Linked DNA regions of Oryzias latipes. Each later gene encodes a partner of the first gene's protein in a complex. Links are inferred from orthologs where the notes say so. Each region holds a gene or a part of one and is shown on either strand. Other genes may lie near its edges.

What was found.
Region 2: ercc2 (region 1) and polr2j share a complex: the UniProt entries of both Homo sapiens proteins name them as parts of the TBP-based Pol II pre-initiation complex. The link is inferred for Oryzias latipes from reciprocal best matches to the Homo sapiens genes ERCC2 and POLR2J.

Annotation. Positions count from the first base shown.
Region 1 is NC_019871.2:4,134,606-4,138,866, reverse strand, and holds the start of ercc2 (general transcription and DNA repair factor IIH helicase subunit XPD), read right to left. Parts: upstream 2,997-4,261; 5' UTR 2,826-2,996; coding exon 2,821-2,825; intron 2,643-2,820; coding exon 2,543-2,642; intron 2,426-2,542; coding exon 2,348-2,425; intron 2,280-2,347; coding exon 2,217-2,279; intron 2,146-2,216; coding exon 2,032-2,145; intron 1,956-2,031; coding exon 1,839-1,955; intron 1,752-1,838; coding exon 1,635-1,751; intron 936-1,634; coding exon 812-935; intron 736-811; coding exon 639-735; intron 102-638; coding exon 1-101. UniProt on the Homo sapiens protein: ATP-dependent 5'-3' DNA helicase. Component of the general transcription and DNA repair factor IIH (TFIIH) core complex, not absolutely essential for minimal transcription in vitro.
Region 2 is NC_019863.2:18,095,586-18,099,036, reverse strand, and holds polr2j (DNA-directed RNA polymerase II subunit RPB11-a), read left to right. Parts: upstream 1-1,569; 5' UTR 1,570-1,609; coding exon 1,610-1,824; intron 1,825-2,135; coding exon 2,136-2,244; intron 2,245-2,627; coding exon 2,628-2,729; 3' UTR 2,730-2,805; downstream 2,806-3,451. Other genes in the region: dnttip1 (deoxynucleotidyltransferase terminal-interacting protein 1), read right to left, coding at 3,113-3,221. UniProt on the Homo sapiens protein: Core component of RNA polymerase II (Pol II), a DNA-dependent RNA polymerase which synthesizes mRNA precursors and many functional non-coding RNAs using the four ribonucleoside triphosphates as substrates.

The DNA.
Region 1 (4,261 bases):
CCAGGTAGACGTCCGTCTCCCTGGCAACGTTGGCCTCCTTCAGCCCTTCCACCAGCCGCCGGTACTCCTCCCTCAGCTTGGCGGCATCCGTGTCCTTGATCCTGCAGATGAGAACGAATCGGATGAGAGGAGCTGGAATGAAGCACACATGACCGATTCCTGAAATTATTTAACAGAAATTCTCAGATTATGGTAATAAAAACACGCCTATTTGCTTTTATTTCTCCATATGGAGGACCAGCTGATTAACCGACACTTCCAGGATGAAGAAAAAATCCTTGAACCTAGAGGCAGGAAACTTCAGGATTTTTCTCTTTAATTCAGTTTGGATCAAACAGAAGCGTCTTATTTTTCCACCCAAAGATGTTTATAGAAATAAGAAAAAAAACAGTTTTGACTCCAAGCTCTGATGTTTTCAGAATCAACATTTGAATTTGATTTCCTTTCATAATTGAGCTTTTTTTTTTTTTTAATATGGATGAGTCTGATTTATGGTTAATGACAAACAGAAACTCCATTACCCACAATTCCTGGTGCCATTAGGGTTTTACAGCTCAAATTTTTGGGGGTTTTAACGCAGAAAACTCCAGATGTTTTTCGTCCTGGTGTGGATAAAAGCAGACTGGGCTGCGTCTCACTTCTGGATGGTGTGCTGAAGTGTTTCCACGTTGCTCTGACAGCGGTCCAGAGTCCTCCTGGTGATGTTCACGCTCATGGAGTCGATGCAAACGTTGTCTGAGGAACGAAGCGGACAAAAAAAGATGAAGGGGAAGAAAAGAAAAATGAAACAAACTAAAGAGAGACGGTTTACCGATGTTATGAGCTTCATCGAACACGACCACCGATTTCTTGGCGAGCTCTTTGGACACCAGATCTGCGATCTTTGGGTCTAGGAGGTAGTGGTAGCTGTACACCACAATGTTGGCGTGAAGAATCTTAGGACAGAAAAATGAGATTTTAAATAGAAAAAAAAAACATGAAGTTAATGCCAACAGTCATTAAAAATCACAAACTAAACATGAGTTTGGATTATTTTCTTTGGTAAATAGTGACGTTTTTAACTTTCTCAAGAACACAGCCATATAGAAGCAGAAGGCAGAGAGAAGGTCACATGACTTGGTTCAGGTCAGAGGTCATGACTCTTTGTCATGACGTTTCTTGGAAGCTGTGGTCAAACTAAGGACATCAGAAGAGAAGTCAAGCATGGGGGTGGTTGTGTGATGGTCAGGGGCAGCTTTTCATCTTCACCGACTACTTCATAAATTTTAACTTCTTCAGGGAAAATCTCGAAGAAGAAAGTCCATCTGAAGCTCCAGAGCTCTGCGGCAGCATGAGGTTTGCTGAATGGATCAAACATCAAGTTTCTGTGACGACCACGTCAAAGTTTGGACTTAGATCGAACAGATTAACAGTCGTTGATGAAAAATCCTCCAGTCCTTTACAGAAACGGACTGACAGGTGTCTGAGCAACCTGACTGCAGCTGCAGCTGCAGCTGCGCAGTTGGGCTGCTTTGATCTGGATTTTAATTGGAATTGGTTAAATGGACACAAAGGAAAACATTCTCCAGATCCATTCAGTCCCTGAAAGGGTTAAAGGTCAGGCACGTGCTGAGCGCCTCTGCTTGGTTACATACCGAATACCGAGCCAGGTAATAAGGACACCAGCCTTTTCGTCTGCCAAAGTCCTTCAGGTCGTCCAGGTTGTAGATGCCGGCAGGAAGGGGAACCTGCCGACCGACGGCGTCAAACTCCTGAGACACAAACCCAACATTCGCAGAGCTTCAGCCACGTTGACGTTCATGCGGTCCGATTTCCCGTAAGCTGAGGCGATTTTCTACCTCGTAGAAGCGGCAGACAGGCTGGTCGGGGTTGCTGTGGCGCTGAGCCCGGATGTAGGACGCCGTCAGGCTGTGGCACTTCCCGTCTACCTCCTTCCCAAAGCGCAGAGAGCTCACCTGATGGACGAGGGAGCTTCCTGTTTGATCAACATTTCCAGAAAGCACGGAAACCCTCAGCTTTCAGGGTTTTTACCTCAGGATGGATGCAGAGATTTTTCCTGGAAGACAGCGCCAGAGCCAGGAAGTTGTTGACTTCTCCGGTTTCTTTAGCGTAAAACTCCATCAGCTTCCTCAGCTCCTCCACGACCTAGATGAGCGGAGGACTTGAAAAGCTCCTGGAGATTTGCTCGTCGTTGGCTGCGGAGGGGTCAGACTCACCTTCTCGATCTCAGGAACTGTCCTGGAGCAGTAGATTAACTTGGTCACATCCAGCGGGAACGCCTGAGAATCAAATAAAGCTTAGAGCAGCTGTCGCCATGAAGGCTCAGAAGGTGCAGAGCTGGACTCACCTTCTGATAGGCCACAATGAGGGACAGCAGGGAGATGGTCTTCCCTGTTCCTGAAGGCATCTCCAGTACTCCATGACCCTGAAACGCAGACACAACACAGTCACTTCACCGTCTCCAGTGAGTTTTCCTGGTTTATGAAATTACCGCACTACATTTCCCAGAAACCCATCTAACACCCGAGTGAAAGAAGCCCACCTTTGCGTCCAGGGTCCTCTTCAGCTCCAGCATGTAGGAGTACTGCTCCGGATAGATGTAATCATACGGAAAATACACCAGCAGACCTTCTATGTTCAACCTGCGACCAAACAGCAAACAGACTGAATAAAACAGCCCAATGCAGACACACGCAAACACTTTAACAGACGAAAAACTTTTCTTTGCTAGCTCTGTCAACACAAACCAAACATTAGCATTAGCATCAACACGTGCTGGTTTAGACTTTTTGTTTACGTCACAGTAACAAAAGAACTCACTTCATCTTCTAAAGAGAAACTTTCCAAAAACTTTCGTCTTTGATTTACGACAGATTGGTCCTTTTAAAGTGAACAGATTTAGGATAACTACACAGAGAACACCAAAATGTTAACGACTTCTTCTTCTTCTACTGTTGTTGTTGTTGCCGGCGTTTCTAAACGCTCTACCACCTGCAGGCAGGAAGAAGAACTGCAGGAACATTAAGAAGAGTCACATGCAAAAGGCATTCTTTTATGGAAGCATTTCTGTTGCACAATTCAAAAACAAAAGTCAAAACCAGAAATGCTTTTATTTTTGAATTATGCAACAGAAATGCTTCCATACTAAATAAAGCCCCTCTGTGAAACATACGAAAAAAAGTCTCTTTGCCTGTAATGTGCATTTTCCCCAGCAGAGGGCAACAATGTTCAGCTCCTGCTCAAACTTCAACCAGCGTTAGAAAATGTGACGTCAGACCCCTCAATGTTTTGATTTTTTCTTTTAATTTCAGAATTTCATTCTTTTTCAAATATTAGTCTTGTATTTTAATCGACAAATATAAGTCGAAAAATTGTGTTAAAAATCTAAAATACGAAGATGATTACAGGAGATTATTTGGTTCTAATGTTCTGTTTTTAAATTGAAAAAGAAGTTTCTCTTTTTTTGTCATCTTTCCTTAAATGAAAAAAATAAGCACGCCATTGAATTCAGAATTCAAAGTTAGGCATCAGTTTTTAACTCTGATGAATATTTTTACACTAATGTGGGGATGGGTGCTGTTTTTACACCCCTGTTCAACAATTTTGGTTATGCAAGTCTTGTGTGCGCCTGTCTGTGTGCATTTGAGATAAATCTATCGAGCCATTTTTATGCACCCGTGCCGGTCTACCACGTAATACATTCATTTATTCTAATACATTTTCGCAACTTCTGAGACGTGTGCAAAAATTGGTTAGTTTTTTAAGCCTCAAATAGGCGAGTCTTTACTCGGAATAATAATAAACATTTTAAAAACCATAGAGTCCTTGCAATCCCTCTGCTCGGGCCCTAATGTGTTTATTTCACTGCTTTTTATTTCAAAACTGCAGCTTTACACTACGGCCATCAGAGGGCGGTATTTCATCAGCATTAAAGTCCATTTCTTATATTAATCCCATTTTGTTGCAAAAACCAAAATGTAAATAAAATAAAGTGTGATTCTGTTAATCTAATAAAAGCGATTTACAGAGCAACTACTGACACCTTTTCTATTATTTTCCAAGAATTTAAATGAACATTTAACAAAGTCATGAAGATTTGTGCTCAACTTCCACATGTTTATGACATCCTTTGTCCATAAAATGTGCACCGATTGGTTTTAGTTGGAAAAATAGCTGAAACTCACCTCAATTAGGCTGACTGGTCCTATTGCAGGATTTCAAAATAAAGTCACAGACTATATTTAGATTTTCACTGCATGAA
Region 2 (3,451 bases), on another chromosome or scaffold:
ACTAAAACATAAATTCACTCGTGTAACTCCATTAGTCGGACTAGGATAAGCCTCGTTCCTCCTCCTCAGCATGTCTGCAGCTCTATTCTCCATCTTCATCTGTAGCCACCACGTGCAGCTGATGGCAGAACCGTCCATGATGAGCACAATTGTATCTAAGGAGAAATTCACCATAAGTAAAAAAAAGAAAGCGTAGTGATCAAAACATAATTAAGATCACCAGAACAGAAGGTGCCAAACTGGGAAAATAAGTTCATTACTGATACATGAACTGAACATGACATTTGAAAGATGCTTCAGTAACAGCTTCATTTAGGCGACAGCTTTTCTCTGAGAAGCAGCTGTTTCTGCGCACAAAATATATGATTGTTCATCTGCAAATCATTTCCTTGTATTGTAGAGAGAAATATGGCCAACGACCAATCAGTTACCTGTTAACATGGACTACATTATGCTATTTTAGAGCCATATCCCTCAGGCTTTGATCCATTTATCCATTTATCTCCTGTACTAACTGAATCCTTTTCGTGGTCACAGGGCTGCTGGAGCCAATCCAGCAACAATTGGGCAAAGGTGGGGTACACCCTGAACAGGTCCCCATTCTGTTGTAGAGCCATACACTCGCATGCACACCTAAGGGACAATTTAAAATACTGGTAATCAATTGACCTACAAAGCATGTTTTTAGACTGTGGGAGGAAGCCAGAGTGCCTGGAGAAAACCCATGCATTTATAAAGAGAACAAACCCCACCTAAATTGACCCCAGGCAGGATTTGAACCAGGGCCATCTTGCTGTACGGCCACTGCTCTACAATGCAGCTCCCTTAGGCTTTCAACTAAAATACAATTTTTTTAAAATTTCACATCACATACTTTAAAGCTGCAGTTAAAGTTTACACCAAAAGTAACAGCCAGGATCCTGGCTCTGAAATTACAGATAAAGAAAGGTTTAGAGACTTTCTTTAAGCCACACAACACAGGCGGATGGACACTGATTAAAGGTTCAGACCACATAAAGTACATAAACATACCATAAACACAACTTAAAACATAAAACTTGTTTAATTTGGATTTTTTTGTTTCTTTTCTGTGTAGCATAAGAAGGGAGTCCATCCATCAGTGGCTGTGCTTTTAATTTGTTGAACAACTAGTGCAGCTTGCATCTCTTGTACTTTAACATTCTCATCTGTTTTTGCACCGGATGTCTGACTGTTTTACATCTACTTTAATTTTAAACTTTTCATTTTAATCCAATCCTATTGTTTTATTTTGTATCGTTATCATGTTTTATGACATGTGCTGCTGACCTCTTGACCAGGTCACATTGCAAAAAGGGATGTTGATCTCAATAGGCTTTTAACCTAGTTATATAAATGTTAATGAAAATAAATAATAAAATTAATAAAAAGTACATTGTTGATTTTCATCATGTTGATCTCGTATTTGTCTTTACTAGTAATTATATCCTTTTACTCAGAACAGCTACTTGTTCCCAACCCAAACTTTTTTTAGGAGACAATGGAGGCATGGCTTTGACTGCTGCTGTAAAAGAAACAAAGAACCAATTTCATATACCTACCAGGAGAGGGCGCTCCACTCGGAATCTGGATGTGTGTTCCGAGCGGAAGTTCTATATCAAGACTTCCGGTGTGTTCCCAGCGCACTGAGTCGCGCGGAAAGATGAACGCGCCTCCTGCTTTCGAGTCATTCCTTCTATTTGAAGGAGAGAAAAAAATCAGCATCAGTAAGGACACGAAAGTGCCGAACGCATGTCTGTTCACGCTCAATAAGGAGGACCACACGCTGGGAAACATCATCCGAGCGTAAGAACCGCGCATGCACAAACAGACAGACTGTCACAGAGCTAACAGTCTCTGGATGGATAGATTATAGAAGAAGAAGCCAGTTTCTGACTGGTTCTGTTAGCCCCGCTTATCATTCCTTGACGTTTTGGTTAGCTAATAAGGAGTGTTATTGTGTGACCTTTGTGTTTAATTTCCAAGACTTACATGTATAAACGAGAGTGACGCGCATGAATTTCATGCTCAATTTTCATGATGAAAACACAGTCCGTCTATGATCTATCTATGCAGCAGGGTTGTCACATATTTTTTCTCCTGTGTGTCACTGTCAGTCAGCTGCTGAAGGATCCTCAGGTTTTGTTTGCTGGTTATAAGGTTCCCCATCCCCTGGAACATAAAATCGTCATCCGAGTGCAGACCACCCCTGACTACAGTCCACAGGTAAGGCAAAGACCCAGCGTGTAAACACAAACGGTCTTATGCAGCTTTTTTCTTTGACACACTTCTTGTTTCGATTCAGTGCAAATCAGTTATGATTCAATTTTTTTGTTGATTTATTTTTACAGGCTGTATTAGATTATGAGAGCTTTTAGTGATTTAAACATTTGACAAAATTGGAGTTGTCATTCCAAAAAAATATTCTTAGAACTGCAGCAAACACCTTTTCAAAAATGACAGGAATATTGAGGTTATAAATTCCTACCTATAGAATTGTTTTCAGAGTCAAATGTTTTTGAAGTTTGTCATTTTTCATGTGTGCTTGTTTGTCATTGCTGACAGGGACTGAGGTGGTATTTCATTAAAGGAAATTGTCTTTTCAACAGGAAGCCTTCACAAACGCCATCACTGACTTGATTAGTGAGCTGTCGCTGCTGGAGGAACGCTTCAGGGTCGCCATCAAAGACAAACAAGAAGGCATTGAGTGATTTAAGCCCATCACAAAATTTCCTGTTTATCTTCATTTCTGTTGTTTTTTCTAAATAAATGTGATGCCACTCCCTGTTTTGTGAGAGACTTGATATTGAGCATCAGCTGAGATGACTCTCACAAGGAAACGGTTTGATCTTTTGGGGTCAGAATTCTTGTGTGAAAGTAGCTGCAACACAAAGCTGCATCTGATCCAGCTGATCAGTATGATGACAGGAACCTCCAAGGATCACTTTCATTCAGAAACCAAGGATTTGCTTCTCTCCGCTCAAACATTGTCAAATGAAAAAGACAAGATGGCAAAGCAACACTTTTATTGAGATTTTATAAAAACAGCATAGAATTGGGGGGGAGAGGGGTGAGGGGCATGATCGTTGTGAGGTCAGGGGTCAACATTTTTCTGCACCTCCATGGCTTGCTGCATCTTCTCCACCATCCAAATTGGAACGGTGAACGGCTTCAGCTCGTCCATTCTCACTTCAGGAGACTCTCTGCACACACACACACACATCTGTACCCATGGCAATCACAGCAACAACGGAAAAGCTAGAGCCGCCAATGACAGCCATTCTACATTTCAGTGTTAAAGGGTCTAGTATTGTGATCAAAACTTAAATGCGTTTCAGGGTGAAGTCACTCAAACTACACAATCTGCTGAAGCAACAGTAAAAACCGAAAATGTCTGCAGGTTCTGATCCATGAAGCTGAGGGTGTTCCTTCA